Linked DNA regions of Sus scrofa. The protein of the gene in region 1 purifies or fractionates together with the protein of each later gene. This does not show direct contact. Links are inferred from orthologs where the notes say so. Each region holds a gene or a part of one and is shown in the gene's direction. Other genes may lie near its edges.

Region 1 (7,097 bases):
GACTTTGTGACAATATTTTCATTTAATCTCTGTCTTCCCCAAAGCTCAGAATGGTTAAACACTAACCTCTGATTAACTGGGTTGCTGTAAACAAAGCCCAAAATGAAACCCCTGTGTATTTGCTGCAGATTCCCAGGTGCCTCTCAAGTACAAGAATAAGCTCAGAAAAGGTTTAATAGGTTTATTAGGTAACCGGCCATTAGAAGGCTCATGTGCTCTTTGTATGTTTCCCTAGGACAAGTGTCTGCCCCCTTCCTGTATTTAGCACTTCCTGGAAGAGGGTAAACTCTAGGATTTAGGCTTCTTTCAGATGCTAGGCCAGAATAATTTTGTCAGGAAAAACAAGATCACAGAACTGCATAAAAGATTATCAATCAGAGATATCAGGCTATTGTATTTTCCCTGATGTCTAAGAAGAACATTCCTCAAGCTGAAGAACGGATAGTTTCACTGGTACTCTTGGTTAAGTTTTATGGAAATCCTCCCCACCAATAAAGATCATATTGAAGATAAACACTGATTCACAACAGCTGCTGGTGAGAAGGAACCCCCCCCTCCATTCCCCCCAGTATTTAGCTGTAGCTCTAGTATTCCTTAACCAGTTTGCCAGCATGATATCGGGCACACTATGGCTTCATGGTCAAATCCAGCCTCAGTGATGGTAGTTTACATATTGAAGATGATCTGAATTTTGTATAGTTTTGATGGCATGTTTATTTCTGGGAGAGAAGGGGATTGTGAGAGTAGAAATAGGAATCTGTCTGTTGTAATAGGATTTGGTCTGTGTATTAATGGAATGAACTGGCCTTTCTCGCTGTGCTTGCTTTGTCCTTGCTGAGAAGGGAGGCTGAAGTTTCCTAGAGCTGTTGATGAAGCTGCAAGGGGAACTGTGGACTTTTGACCTTGATGGTGATTGGGGGGGTTTGGAAAGCCCACAGGTTGGTGTAAGGAATAGAAAGAGTTCTGTTCCATTTTGGCCTCGAAACAGGAATATACAAATTAAAGCAATAACTTCTACTTTCTTAGCACTTCTTCTTTTAAAGTTTCTGTAAACCTGTGTCATTTGACATTGTTTTTTTCCAGTGCAACAGATGACCATTTTCTTTAGAAGGCACTTTTCATGTGGATTTGTTGTTAGACCGAAAAAAAAAAAAATCTACCTCGTTTCACAGGCCTACACCTTTACATATATAGAACACCTTCCTCATTATTTCCTTTCGAAAAACTAATTTAGTGCAAACAATTAACTCAGTCAACTAAGAATATTTTATTTTCTTGTTTTAGCAATTCTTAAAATAACTGTTAGTTTAGACTTAATTATTGAAATGCATCAGTGGACTTCTGCCCCACCCCATCTCCCTTTTGCCTGCCTCCCTCACCAACAAAAACATCAAAGAAGAACACTTGATGAACAATAGCCCCTGTTTAAAAGGAAAACTTGTGTTTTTAGTTAATTCTTTGCTGATAAAATATTTTCTTAAAAACAAATTATAAATCCTCTGTATTTCAGAATCCCTCAATCTCGCTCTCTCGCACACAAACACAGCCTGACTATTTGGTTGTTTCTCTGAATCACTTTCATAAATACTTGCTCTGGTATGGCTAAACAGAATTGGAATGGGATGAGATCAGGCAAGAGATCATCCAAAGACAAATAATGATGTTTTTGTTTTCCTCATATATTTGAGTGTATTTCTAAAATAACTTTTTTTTTAACTTTTTGTGTTTTTATTTTGGCTCTTCCATAAAAAGATGGCTTACCACAGGCTTAACATTCAGGGAATTTTTATTATTATTACTCAGTGAATTTATTGCATTTATAGTTGTACAGTGATCATCACAATCCAGTTTTGTAGGATTTCTATCCCATACCCCCAGTGTATTCCCCAACCCAAAAGAACTTTTAAAAGGATGGTATTCTGTGGTTACATCTCTTAAAACTATGGCCACAAATCTAATTAGTATTAATAATTCCTTTTATTGATGCTTTATTTGTTACTTTTGTGAGACCCTCACACACACACACACACACACACACCCTCCCTGCCACTCTGGATTTGTCCCTTGGGATTTAGTTTCTGTTCACCACCTTTTCATCACCTCTCTTAGTCCAGATGTCCTGGTGAAGTTGGTCCTTGGTTTGGATATTCTACATTACTTACAAGGTACATGTTTTTGCCACCCCTAGAGCTGTTTCTTCCTTCCTCGCTTCATGTTGAGGGTTTTTTTTTTTTTTTTTTTTTTGATCATGGGAATCACGGTTTATCTCACTATTTTTGAACATCGGCCTCCCACTGTTAACTGCTCTCAGACGCTGCACCTCATTGAAGAGCTTCAAAGACCTCTCTAACAACTGAAGGACACACCACTGGTCAGGCAGTGTGAGCTCATTCTTAATTTGTCTTAATGATTTATGAAATTATTATTCTTAAATTACTATAACCCTGGATTTTTGTGAATTTTACAGCCTCCCTTTCAGTAGTTTCAATTCAGGGCCCAATTGCCTGCTAAGAACTTCCCCATTTATCAGAGAAGAAATCCCCTCTAATTTCCCATAGGGCAAAGAAGTGTAGGTGATACATATTGAACTACTTCTGTGCTTAGTATCATATCGTGTCCAAAACTTTCCAAGGGGGAATCACATTCATGCAGAGGTGCAAAGTAAAAGGGTGTACCTTAGCTTAAATTTTAGGATGTGTCCTCCATTGTGTTATGATTCCATTATTTCACAGGATAGTGGGAAGGGTGTGTTGTATTTTCTGCTTAAAATCTGGAGTTTGAGAAAATACCTCCTTCCTGCAGTTTTTAGGATGAGTGTTTGCCAGGAGGGGGTCTTCCCCGGAGTGCTCCTGTCAGGCTCAGTCATGTAATAACACGTTGCTGGGGGTGGGGTGGAGCAGAGATTTCTCTTTTAATGGTTTCTTGTTAGAGCCCTCAACAAAGCTGTGTCAATTCCCTTGGCTTTACAGACTTGCCCAGAAGAAAAGATGTTTGGTTTTCACAAGCCAAAGATGTACCGAAGTATAGAGGGCTGCTGTATTTGCAGAGCTAAATCCTCTAGTTCTCGCTTCACTGACAGTAAACGCTATGAAAAGGATTTCCAGAGCTGTTTTGGGTAAGACCATCTGATGTTTGTACCATTTTTAAAGTGAAAGAGATTTCAGTATATGGAAATGTTTCTAAGCAAAGGGATTGGAGTAGTGTGCTAATAATTAAAATCACATATATGCTAATTCTAATCTCTTATTTCAAGGCACTTGCTCGTAAAACAAATCAAGCAATACTGACAGCCTACCCTTTTCCAGATTAGGAGGAACTGCCAAATTAATTGTGAGGCCCCTTAGAAGTTATAACCAAATACACCCTTTTGTTGTTAACTTCAGGATGTACAAAAATGTTTTTAAAAAGATTAACGTATTCTCTGTTAGAATAGTTGAACTAGTTTTCTGTCTTTTGTATTGTTTTTCTAAGCTATAGAAATCCATTTAGCCCAGTCTGCTGAGGATACTAACAGGACTTAATGTTCTGCCCCGAAACCTAGCTTTTATTTTATAATTTTATTCTTTATTTATCTTTTGGCAATAAACCTCTGCTTAATAAAATGGAATTTACTTTCCAGCAAATACTTGGATGAAATAAAATCCTTAATCTTGAACCATTTCTCATGTTAGAATTAATTTCACCACTGTGTTTTTCTTATCAGAACATTTGTTTATTTACTGTTAATCCTAGACTATGTAGTTATAGATGTTATTATTTTTTATAGTCACACCCGTAGCATATGGAAGTTCCCAGGCCAGGGATTGAATCTGAGCCGCAGCTGTGGCATATGCTGCAGTTGTAGCAACACCAGATTCTTTAACCCACTGTGCTGGGTTAGGGATCAAACCCATGCACCTGCATCACCCCCAGCCACTGCAGTTGAATTCTTAACCCACTGTGCCACAGCAGGAACTCCAACTTTGTAGTTATTTTAAAGAGTCTTTACCAACCAACCTTGCCTTTTGAAATTACATTCTCTCTCTTTTGGCTGCATCTGCAGCATGTGGAAGTTCCCAGGCCAGGAATCAAACTGGTGCTGCAGTTGCAACTTAAGCCACAGGTGCGGCAGCCAGATCCTTAACGAATTGTGCCACTTGGGAACTTCCTGAAATTACATATTTCTCTTAATGTGTTTTTTTCCAGTTGTATATGTAATAAATGTTATTTTTATTTTCCCATATATATTTATAATACAAAAAAATAAAATAAGTTAAAAGTTCCTCAGAGATACATTTAAAAAATAGCTTGGTTAACTATAGAGTTCTTTCCTCCATGCAGGTGCAATCATTTAAAAAAAATTACAGTGCCTATCTGATTTTGTTTGTTGTAAAACTACAGTATTTTGGCACATTGTGTTACGTAAAGGGTGGCGTGTTTTATTGCTTATGAATTATGTGTATATTTCAAGAAAGATTAATTGGACAGCATTGTTTAAAGCCATGGAGACCAGGATCTTCTTAGGTCTTAAATTTTACTAGTGCTTAATTTAAAAAACATTGTTGTGAAATGACCAAATTGCAGCACATAGAATTGGTTCATTGGATATAGAAGTTGATTATATTTCTGAAATGTACTACAGAAAACAATGGCACTAGATCACCCAGAACAATTAGAAAGAACATCTATAAACTATAAATAGATGAATTTTTTCTAAAAGAAATGTACTTGCATGAATCCTTTAAGGGAGACTAATAAAGGTTTGATTGTTTTCTTATCAGGTTACATGAGACTCGTTCAGGAGACATCTGTAATGCCTGTGTCCTGCTTGTGAAAAGATGGAAGAAGTTGCCAGCAGGATCAAAAAAAAACTGGAATCATGTGAGTTTGTCTTTCATCTTTCTCAGTTATACCTTTTCCTATATACTAAAGTAACATTAGTTTCCCCCCTAATTTTGGAAATAATATGTTCCCAGGGTGGAAAAGTCTGAAAAGAATAAAGAAAATGCTAGTTGCTGCTCAGATATCATCACTTGACATTTCGGCATGTTTGGGAGCGAAATAGCTTGATATGGTGTTTCCCTAAGGTTGTATCAGATATCCCCATATTGGAAAGTCACAGTATATATTTCCCATATTTTCAGATTTAACCCAGAAATTCCTAGAGTTAGTTAGACATAGGTCCTTTTTCTCATCTCTTAGGAAAACATATACCTTAGCTTGTATTGATAATGAGCATGTAGGTTTTCAGTCAACAGGATTCGAATCCTGCCTTTACCACTCTAGTTGTGAACTTTGGGCACGTGACATTTATTTATAAAGTGCAGAGATAAATAGTTATCTTACAGAGCTGTTGTGAGAACTGAATGAGAAGATATATATAAAGTATTATGCATAGTAATCTCTCAGAAGCTATTAATATTCTGTATTTAAATTTAGTTGAGATCAAACTGGCATGTAAATGTGTTTTCTATTTGCATTTCACTTTGTAATGTCACTAGAATTCTTTAGAAAATATTTTCAGTGATCAGAACAACACTTACGTCTGCTGTCTAATTTTTTTTGTGCTTTCAGAAGATTTATTATATTTATATAAAATACTCATTTTTAAGCAGGCAAGCATTTATTCTTTTTGTTTGCTTGTCTTTTTGTCTTTTTAGGGTCTCACCAGAGGCACATGGAGGTTCCAAGGCTAGGGGTCTAATTGGAGCTGTAGCTGCCAGCCTACACCACAGCCACAGCAACGCCAGGTCCGAGCCTCGTCTTTGACCTACACCACAGCTCACGGCAACACTGGATCCTTAACCCGCTGAGCGAGGCCAGGGATCAAACCTGTAACCTCATGGTTCCTAGTCAGATTCATTTCCACTGTGCCATGATGGGAACTCCAGCAAGCATTTATCTTTGTCTTTTTTCTTACACTAGCCTTACACTGTCCTTTGGTGACAATGTTACATTATTAGGATAGTTTCTATGAGTCTGTTAATTTATAAAAATGTGAGTTTTTCTTTAATTAATAGCTTATCTGGAAAGATCTAAATTGTGCCTTTGAAGGTAACGTCAGTCTTTATATGTAAGGGTAGAAATCTGCAAATAGTAAATGTGAATGAAGGCGTGAGAAGTGGGACCACATAGGATTAGACCAAAGGTCATGCTTGGCCACAGAGAACGTGCCATTGCTGTCACATAGCTAACCTCAGGGATTAAGGGTGTGGACTAAAATGAGCATAAAGCGTAGGTCTGAACCTTCATTTTAGTCTGGGCCCCTTCCCCACCCACCCTTGCCCATTTGGTAATAAATAAGTGAAATTAGTCAAAATGCATAGTTTGCTATTTCTTGTTTTTCTTTACCTTAAAAATTGTAGTAACAAAAATAGTTACTGCTTTGTGGTAAAGTTAAAATCAAAAATGTGAAAGCTGAAAAACATCATCCCGTAGAAAAGTTAAATGTTGTTAGGCTTGGTTTTTCTTAACCTACTTAGGTCATTTTCACCATATGTAAATTGATAGGAATTTTTGGTCCAGCAGACTCCTGCTATTACTTACTTCAAAGGAATAAAACCCCTAGGAGTTCCCGTTGTGGCGCAGTGGAAACAATCTGACTGGGAACCATGAGGTTTCGGGTTCAATCCCTGGCCTCACTCAGTGATGTGAGGCTGTGGTGTAGGCTGGCAGCTGTAGCTCCCATTAGACCCCTAGCCTGGGAACCTCCATGGGTGCGGCCTTAAAAAGACAAAAAGACAAAAAAAAAAAAAAAAGAATAAAGCCCCTAGATAAACTGTTCTTTAATACCATGTGACGATTAAAAGTGCCCATGGGCTCTCAAACACTGAGTAGAAAACTGTGGTTTTCAAATTTGGCTCCTTCAAATAAACATTCATCTGAACCAAGGGAATACAGAGGTGTCATTTTTTAAATGGTATTAAATATTCAGTATTTTCTTCCAGGTGGTAGATGCAAGGGCAGGACCTAGTCTAAAGACTACACTGAAACCAAAGAAAGTGAAAACCCTATCTGGAAACAGGATAAAAAGCAACCAGATCAGTAAGCTACAGAAGGAATTTAAACGTCACAGTAAGTTTGATATTGAAACATGAGAATTTAAGAATAATTGTTTG
Region 2 (7,845 bases), on another chromosome or scaffold:
CTGGCAGCTATAGCTCCGATTCACCCCCTAGCTTGGGAACTGTGGTGTAGGTCAAAGACGCAACTCAGATCTGGCATTTTTGTGGCCGTGGTGTGGGCCGATACCACGATTGGATCCCTAGCCTGGGAACCTCTGTGTGCCTCGGGTGTGGCCCTAAAAAGCAAAAAAAAAAAAAAAAAAAAAAAAAATCTGAGCCACAGCTGTAACCTGTGCCACAGCTTCAGCAATGCCGGATCCTTTAATCCACTGTTTGGGACTAGGGATTGAACCTGCACCTCCACAGTGACCCAACCTGCTGCAGATTCTTAACCCACAGTGCCACAGCAGGAACTTTTTAGCAACTTTTTTTTTTTTTTTTTTTTTTTTTTTTAGGGCTACACCTGTGGCATATGAACATTCCCAGCTAGGAGTTGAATCAGATACAGCTGCCAGCCTATACCACAGCCACAGCAAGGCCTGATCATTAACCCACTGAGCTGGGCCAGAGATCCAACCCACATCCTCGAGGATACTAGTTCAGTTCTTTTCCACTGAGCCACACGGGAACTCCTTGGGAACTTTTTATGCTTTATAAAAATGAGAATGAAAATACGTATGTGTACTATTGCCTACATTTTAAATGTGCACTCGCCCACACTCGTGCACATATTCGTGCATCCTTCAGAATTCACTCATGCCCAAAGTGGAATTGGCTTGTGGTTGCCTGTCCTCCAAATGAGTGAGGGCCTCTTCTGACCCTATGAGACCTATGAAAAGAATGGAAAACTGAAAGTGATCCTTGTGGGAGGGGGACACTGTGTGAGAACCCTGGGGCAGAACAGAAGCCTATATATGCCATTGGTTCTCAGGACAGGGACTGTTGCCGGAAGGTTTGGGTGTGGAGAGGACTGACTGTTTAGACTCTGTGGCCTCAGAGTTTGGTTCGGGCCATCTTAGCTGAACACACTGAAACTAAGCAGAATCATTTTGTGGGCTGGGAGCCTCGAATCCTCCATGCTTGCTTACCCCTCTTCCCCTCATCATGTGTTCTCTGCTTTGTCTTCTAAATATCACTCCCTTCCACTCCCTTCTCTCCACCTCCCCTGCCCCCAGCCTGGTCTAAGCTACCATCGTCCTTCGCCTGCCTAAATGATGAAACAGTCTTCCTGCACTGTGCCTGGCTCCTCTCCAACCACTTCTCTGCAGAGGAGTCAGATCATTTGCTTCTAACTTCAAAGATGCTCAAACAGCTCCTTGCATGGAACCCATGTGCAGTTTCTACCAGCACTAAATGCCAAGATCAAAAGCCTTAACTCACCCCACAAGAATGAGAGTTCTGCTTCCTCCGTCCTCTCCACTTTTTTTTTTTTCTTTTCAGGGCTGCACCTCTGCATATGGAAGTTCCCAGCCTAGGGGTCAAATTGGAACTGCATCTGCCAGCCTACATCCACAGCCAGAGCAACGCTGGATCTAAGCTGCATCTGTGACCTATGCCACACCTCGTGGTAATGCCAGATCCTTAACCCACTGATCAAGTCCAGGGATCAAACCCACACCCTCCCGGATACTATGTCAGGTTCTTAACCCATTGAGCCACAACGGGAACTCCTCTTCTCTCTTTTCCTGCACCCTCTCCCTCCCTCTCTCATTCCTCTGCAGTCCAAGAACATTGGCCTTTTTTTTTTTTAATTCTTCAAATGTGCTACACTCCTCCCCACCACAGGGCCTTTGCACAGCCATTCCCCTGACTTTCATGGTGAACACTTATACATCCTTCAGAACTCAGCTAGAATGCCACCTCTTCTTATTCCTTGCTAGAATGGATTAAGTGCTTTGGGTGGTATTTTCCAAAAATGGTCATGGCAATATTTCCTATCCCCCATGCTATTTCAGAATCTGGCCACCTCCTAGGTTCTGGAGTCTGTTTGCCCTCCTCTTGAGTTTGGGAGGGACTTTTGATTCTCTGTGACTTGCAAGAGTGGATCAGGAAAGGCTATAAGTTTTCCTCCTAGCTCACATGTTCCTCTCAGGATGATTGGGCTTGGAAGCCAGGTGCCATGTTGTGAGGAAGCTCAGGCTACATGAGGAGGCCATATGTAGGTATTCCTGGCAACAGCACTGGCAGTGGTTTAGATCTACAGCAAGAAGCAACTGGCACATGTGTAAACCTTCAGGGGATTCCAGCCTCAGCCTTCCAGGCGCCCAGCTGACCCTGAGGGACCAGGCATTAGCTATCCCTGCCAAGTCTGCCTAAATTCCAGAATGGAGAGCAAAATAAATATTATTATTATTGTAAACCTCTAAATTTTGAGGTAGCTTGTTACATAGCCATAGTAACTGGAACACAATACCTTTTTTTTTCTTTTTTTTTGCTTTTTTGGGCCGGCATATGGAGGTTCCTAGGCTAGGGGTCCAATCGGAGCTACAACTGCCAACCTACACCACAGCCTTAGCAACTCAAGATCCAAGCTGCATCTGTGACCTACACCACAGCTCACAGCAATGCCAGATCCTTAACCCACTGAGTGAGGCCAGGGATCGAACCCAAAACCTCATGGTTCCTAGTTGGATTCATTTCCACTGTGCCATGACAGGAATTCCCAATAACTATTATATTTGTATGTTCTCTCTGAAGTATTTGTTACAAGTGAGCTTTACATCTATGTATGTGATTATTTGATTCCAATCCTCTTGAAAGGCTGATGGCTCTGTGAGTGTAAAAGCCTGGTCGGTTTTGTTCACCCTTCTACTCCTGACCCCTGGCAAATGATGCACTTGTTGCCAATGTATTCTCAGCTTTCCTGCACCTCTTCACACATTGAAAAAAAAGATACTGGAGTTCCCATTGTGGCTCAGTGGTTAATGAATCCGAACATGAGGTTGTGGGTTTGATCCCTAGCCTTGCTCAGTGGGTAAGGAGCTGGTGTTGCCATGAGCTGTGGTGTAGGTCACAGACGCGGCTTGGATCTGGCATTGCTGTGACTCTGGCGTAGGCCAGCAGCTGCAGCTCCAATTAGACCCCTAGCCTGGGAACCTCCCTATGCTGCGGGTGCGGCCCTAAAAAGACAAAAGACAAAAAAAGAAAAAGAAATAGGAAGACCTTGGAGGTTTGGAAGCAGCTATGGAATGATAGTTCTTGATAGCACTGGGGCTGGAAAAACTGGTTAAGAGGCTCCCGAACCAGTGGGAGGGTCCAGTGGGGAAGTGATAGGGTCAGGAACCAAAGGCTCCAGTGGGGAAGTCATGGGGTCAGGACTAGAGAAGCGAAGAGAGGAGGAACAGGACTAAGTCAAGAGCAATTTGGCAAACCCCGTGGCCCTGAACTAGGGTGCTGTGTGCCCATACCAGGTTGTCACATCAACCCTACAAGTACGAGTCAAGAACATTTTATTATATATCAGGCTGTGTAGATCTTAGCGTCTGTCGCAGTTATTCACCCCGCTGTTGTACTGCAAAATTAGCCAGAGATGACAGGTAAACAAGTGGGCATGCCTATGTTCCAATAAAACTTTATTTTTGCAGACACTGAAATTTAAATTTCATAGAATTTTCACGTGTCACGGAATAGTCTTCTCCCTTGGATTTTTCTTCCAACTTTTAAAATTGTAAAAATTATTCCGATCTTGCTTTGGGGGCCAGACAGAAGCAGGCGGCAGGTTTTGGTTTGCTCACAGTGGTATATGTCAGGACAGTCGCGTTTCAGTTTTATGGGGTAAGATCCTACCGCAGAGTCCTTGAAAGAGCCCCGCCTTCAGGGCGGAGCCAGCGCATGCGCGGCCGGCCCCCGGGCGGGGGCGGGGCGGGCTGTGGCTCCGACTTCCAACATGGCGCACGCTGGCGGTGGCGGCGGCGGCGGCCCAGCGGGCCGGGGGCTGAGCGGGGCCCGCTGGGGTCGCTCGGGCTCTGCGGGCCATGAGAAGCTGCCAGTGCACGTGAGTGGCGCCCCAGCTCTCCCTCGAGCACCCCGTCGTCCAGTTCCCGCAGGCCGGCGCCCCCCACCCAAGCCCCGCCCGGCCCCGGCCCCGCCTCGGCCTCCTCTCCGCGCAGCCCCAGACCCCCGACTCCCCACCTCCGCTCCTTGAGGCCCAGCCGGTTGCCCCTCCCGCCAGGGTCCCCCGCCCCCTCCTCCGCAGACCGCGGCCCACCTGGACTTTCCCCTCCCCGCAGGTGGAGGACGCCCTCACCTACCTGGACCAGGTGAAGATCCGTTTCGGCAGCGACCCTGCCACTTACAACGGCTTCCTGGAGATCATGAAGGAATTCAAAAGCCAGAGGTACCTGCCGGGCCCCTGCCCACCCCAGGGGACCGTCCTGGGCCGCAGTCAGCCTGAGCTGGGTGGGAGCCCCTTACCCTGGCTGCCCCATGACGGGGTGACCTTGCCCAGGTGGTCAGAACTTAGCGGATCCTCAGTTCCTTCTTAAAAAAAAAAAAAAACTGGGACGGGAGGGACCCCCCGGGAGGGACCCCCCCCCCTTCACCCGCCCCGCCGTGGCCCTGTTGTGGGGATTCCTGGACCGAGGGCAGGGATGGGGTGAGGCAAGTGAGCAAACACAGGGTAGGATCCCGTCTTTACTCAAAATGTTGATTTTTAAGTGAATTTCATTTTTCGAGGCTTTTTAAAAGTTAATTTTTATCTTTTGATCAAGCAGTGCATGAAAATGTTATTAATTTTGGTTATCGACCGTATTGGCACTGTGTCCCTCTTAAATCTTATCCCCAAGGTGAGTTCCTCACTCCCTTCACTCCAGTCCCAGGCCTACTTGAAGTAATGCGCACAAAATGCTTAGTAAGGAATCTGGCACTAAGAAGGCATTTAAAACATGTTAGCTGTTTTCACAGGCACTGAATCAGGAGGGTTAGAGATAGATGGGAGACCTCCCTCCCGATGGTGCTCTTGTTGGAAAGGATGCTCATTGAGGCTTAGAGTGGGTCAAGGGGTTGTCCAGACCCACCTTAGGGGCAGAGGCGGGACCAGAACTGGTTCTGTCTGACTTAGATTCGCCAGTGTCACATCCCCTCCGTGCTGCTTCTCCCTCTAAGGAAACAGGGTAGGGCCCACCTGGTTGCCTTCCACAGGCACAAGGCTAAAGCCTTGGCCCTGACTGCAGCCCTGAGGGAGACCCCATCTCTGCCCTCCGATTCTTATGCCACTTCCATACTTGCATGGCCTTTGCATTATAGTCAGTTGCTGGGAACAACTCCAGTGTCATAGTCCATCTCTAATTCATGCGAAATGGAGGAATTTATCTCCCCTTTAGAGGGTTTTGACATGTCACTTCTTGGAGCCCACAATTTAAAATTGGCTCTCCTGACATTTTCAGAACCTAGCACATGTGCTTGCAGTGTTTTGGGAGCCGTGCTGTGTACATATTCTGTGGATTTTGCCAGGAAGGCACTGGGAGCCCAGGCCTGGCTGCCTTAGCAGCGGATCACCACCAGCAGAATCACTCCAGTCACATTTTAGGGTGGTTGGTTCTTTGTCCGTTGAGAAGCTTGTGACATGGCACGGTTAAGGGAGTCACGAGTAGATTTCTCTTTTAATCTGCTCCCCAGGACGCCTCTGCCCACTCTTGTTCTTCTTTGTTCTAGTATCGATACTCCAGGAGTCATCCGGCGAGTGTCACAGCTATTCCACGAACACCCTGACCTCATTGTCGGATTCAACGCTTTCCTTCCTCTCGGCTACAGAATAGACATTCCCAAGAATGGCAAGTTAAACATACAGTCGCCTCTGTCGAGCCAGGTATGCGGCTGCCGTGGTTTGAATGATCTGACCTTAGCACAGCCCACCCTGGTACGCAGGCCGGGCAGCGTGTCTCGTGTACTTCATTGCTAGAAAGGTGGTGAAGATCTGGTCTTTTTCCTGAAATGCTTCTAACGCAAATCAAAATAGATCAAAACACCTACCCAGGCAGGCTCTGCATCCCAAATTGATCCTTTTGGCAGATTTAAATCAGGAGTGGATGTGTTTGTGCGTGCCAGGGAGGCATTCTTCTAACACAGTTTTATGTCCAGTCAAGATAATTGTGTCCACAGTCACTGAAGTCTTGGTTGGAGGTTCTTCCTCTGAGTGCCTTAGGCAGGCCTCACTTGTACTTGGGCCTGTGGCCCCTTCTGATCACCCTCAGTGCCACCCACAAAATAAAAGCAGCAGAGGTGCATGTGTGACTAGCCATTTTTGTTGCTGTGCTTCATTTACCTGCTGACAGGATCATTGACTGAGCTCAGGCTTGTGGCTTTGGTCCCTTCTTTCTTAAATGACAGCTTGCTGCCTCTTCTGTCTCTGCAGTCCCTCCTTGCTTGAGCTCACCAGACTCCCTGAGAAAAAGCCTGTTTGAGCTTTACTTTTCTAAGGTAACCATTGTCTTTTTCTCTCCTCGACCCTGTTGCCGTGTAAGGCATAACACTTTGCTGTGGGGGTGTTGTCCAGGGCATCATGGAGTGTTTAGCAGTGTCCCTGGCCTCCACCCACTAGATCCCCACCCAGTCAAGACAGCTAAAAATGTCTCCAGACATAGCCAAGTGTCTCCTGCGGGCAAAATTACTGCGTTGAGAACCACTGGTGTAAAGGAACCAGCTCTTGCAACCTCCTCCATCTCTGCCCCAGGGGTTTTTGCGGGGAAGGTAAAAATCTACTCTGGAAGCATTTTGTAGGTTTCTCCTCTGATAAAGGAGATTGCAGAGTGTCCTATCAATTAAGGAGTCAGGATTTGAAAAGAGAACAGCAAGAGGCAGTGTGGCACTGGCTGGTCCTTCTCCAAGGGGGACTGGCACATAAATTCTGCCTTTTCTCTACGCAAGGCAAGCTCCACCATCAGCACATTGTCTCATTAAAGCTGAGGAGTGTGTATGTTTTAAAAAGGAACTTGGAAGGCTTCAGCCACTGAATTCCAAAAGGCTTCCATTTCATATTTGCAAATGGAGCCCCAGGATCCAGAGGTAGCGCTTCAGCCTCCAGATGATAAAAGCCTTAGCGGAGATTAATCTTCAGAACAATCACAGCCAGGGGAGGAAAGCAAGCTCATCTGCAGCAGTGGTGCAGGAGCGTTTTGCCGGATCTGAAGCGCTGCATAAATGCTGGCTGTCATTACCATCACTCTGCTAAAAAGAGCCAGAGTCCAGGGCCTAAATTGCACTCTATGTGTGGAACTCGCCTTTCTCAAGCCCTGTTGGGGTGCTGCTCTCTGGGCTGGATCTCCCCACGAGCCTCACCTTCCCTTCAAGAGCCCTAAGGCCCTGGCCACTCCACAGCTTCAGGAATTGTTGGAGAGATAAGGAGACAAGACCAGTCTGTCTGCCCCTGGGTGGATTTGGTGACCGCAGGTCTATTAACTCAAAGAGAGGCTTGATGAGAATTTTCCCTTAATAGCTACTTACTAGGGTTTTATAGTCTGGCTGTAGCCCGGCAGCCTTAGATATGGCCCCTTCCTCCTTTGGAGAGGGACAGCCTTTCGTTCCCTTGGGGCATGTGCCGCCCACTTGGTTTCAGTCGTGTACACAGATCAGCCACGTTTCCAGCCCTGCTTCACTCCAGGCACAAACAGGATGTCTGCTCAGCTTCCTAGAGGCCTTTTTCGGTCCATGGTACCCTGTGAACTTTACAGGGCTCCCTACACACCAGCACCCTGGTAATTTTTTTTTCTATTGGTTTTTCCAGCTTCATTGCTTGGAAGTAGAGCTCTGAGAGAGAGAGAGAGAGAGAGAGAGAGTGTGTGTGTGTGTGTGTGTGTGTGTGTTGCCATTTTTTAATTTGTCATGAGTCCTGACAACTACAGACAAGGAGAGAGTAGTTCTTAGGTGCCGAGGAGGAAAAATAAGTCTTGGCCTTTGGGGGGCCCTTTGTGCACTGTTGCCCTTGGGGCCAG

The links. The genes of interacting proteins can lie anywhere in the genome.
Region 2: the proteins of FAM60A (region 1) and SIN3B purify together in Homo sapiens (affinity purification with mass spectrometry; 3 studies listed by BioGRID and IntAct, counting the BioPlex papers as one, with this or other methods). This does not show direct contact. The link is inferred for Sus scrofa from reciprocal best matches to the Homo sapiens genes SINHCAF and SIN3B.

The regions. Positions count from the first base shown.
Region 1 is NC_010447.5:42,942,479-42,949,575, forward strand, and holds part of FAM60A (protein FAM60A), read left to right. Parts: intron 1-2,969; 5' UTR 2,970-2,987; coding exon 2,988-3,115; intron 3,116-4,760; coding exon 4,761-4,860; intron 4,861-6,926; coding exon 6,927-7,053; intron 7,054-7,097. UniProt on the Homo sapiens protein: Subunit of the Sin3 deacetylase complex (Sin3/HDAC), this subunit is important for the repression of genes encoding components of the TGF-beta signaling pathway.
Region 2 is NC_010444.4:60,787,564-60,795,408, reverse strand, and holds the start of SIN3B (paired amphipathic helix protein Sin3b), read left to right. Parts: upstream 1-3,748; 5' UTR 3,749-3,803; coding exon 3,804-3,911; intron 3,912-4,146; coding exon 4,147-4,253; intron 4,254-5,569; coding exon 5,570-5,723; intron 5,724-6,269; exon of another isoform or gene 6,270-6,334; intron 6,335-7,845.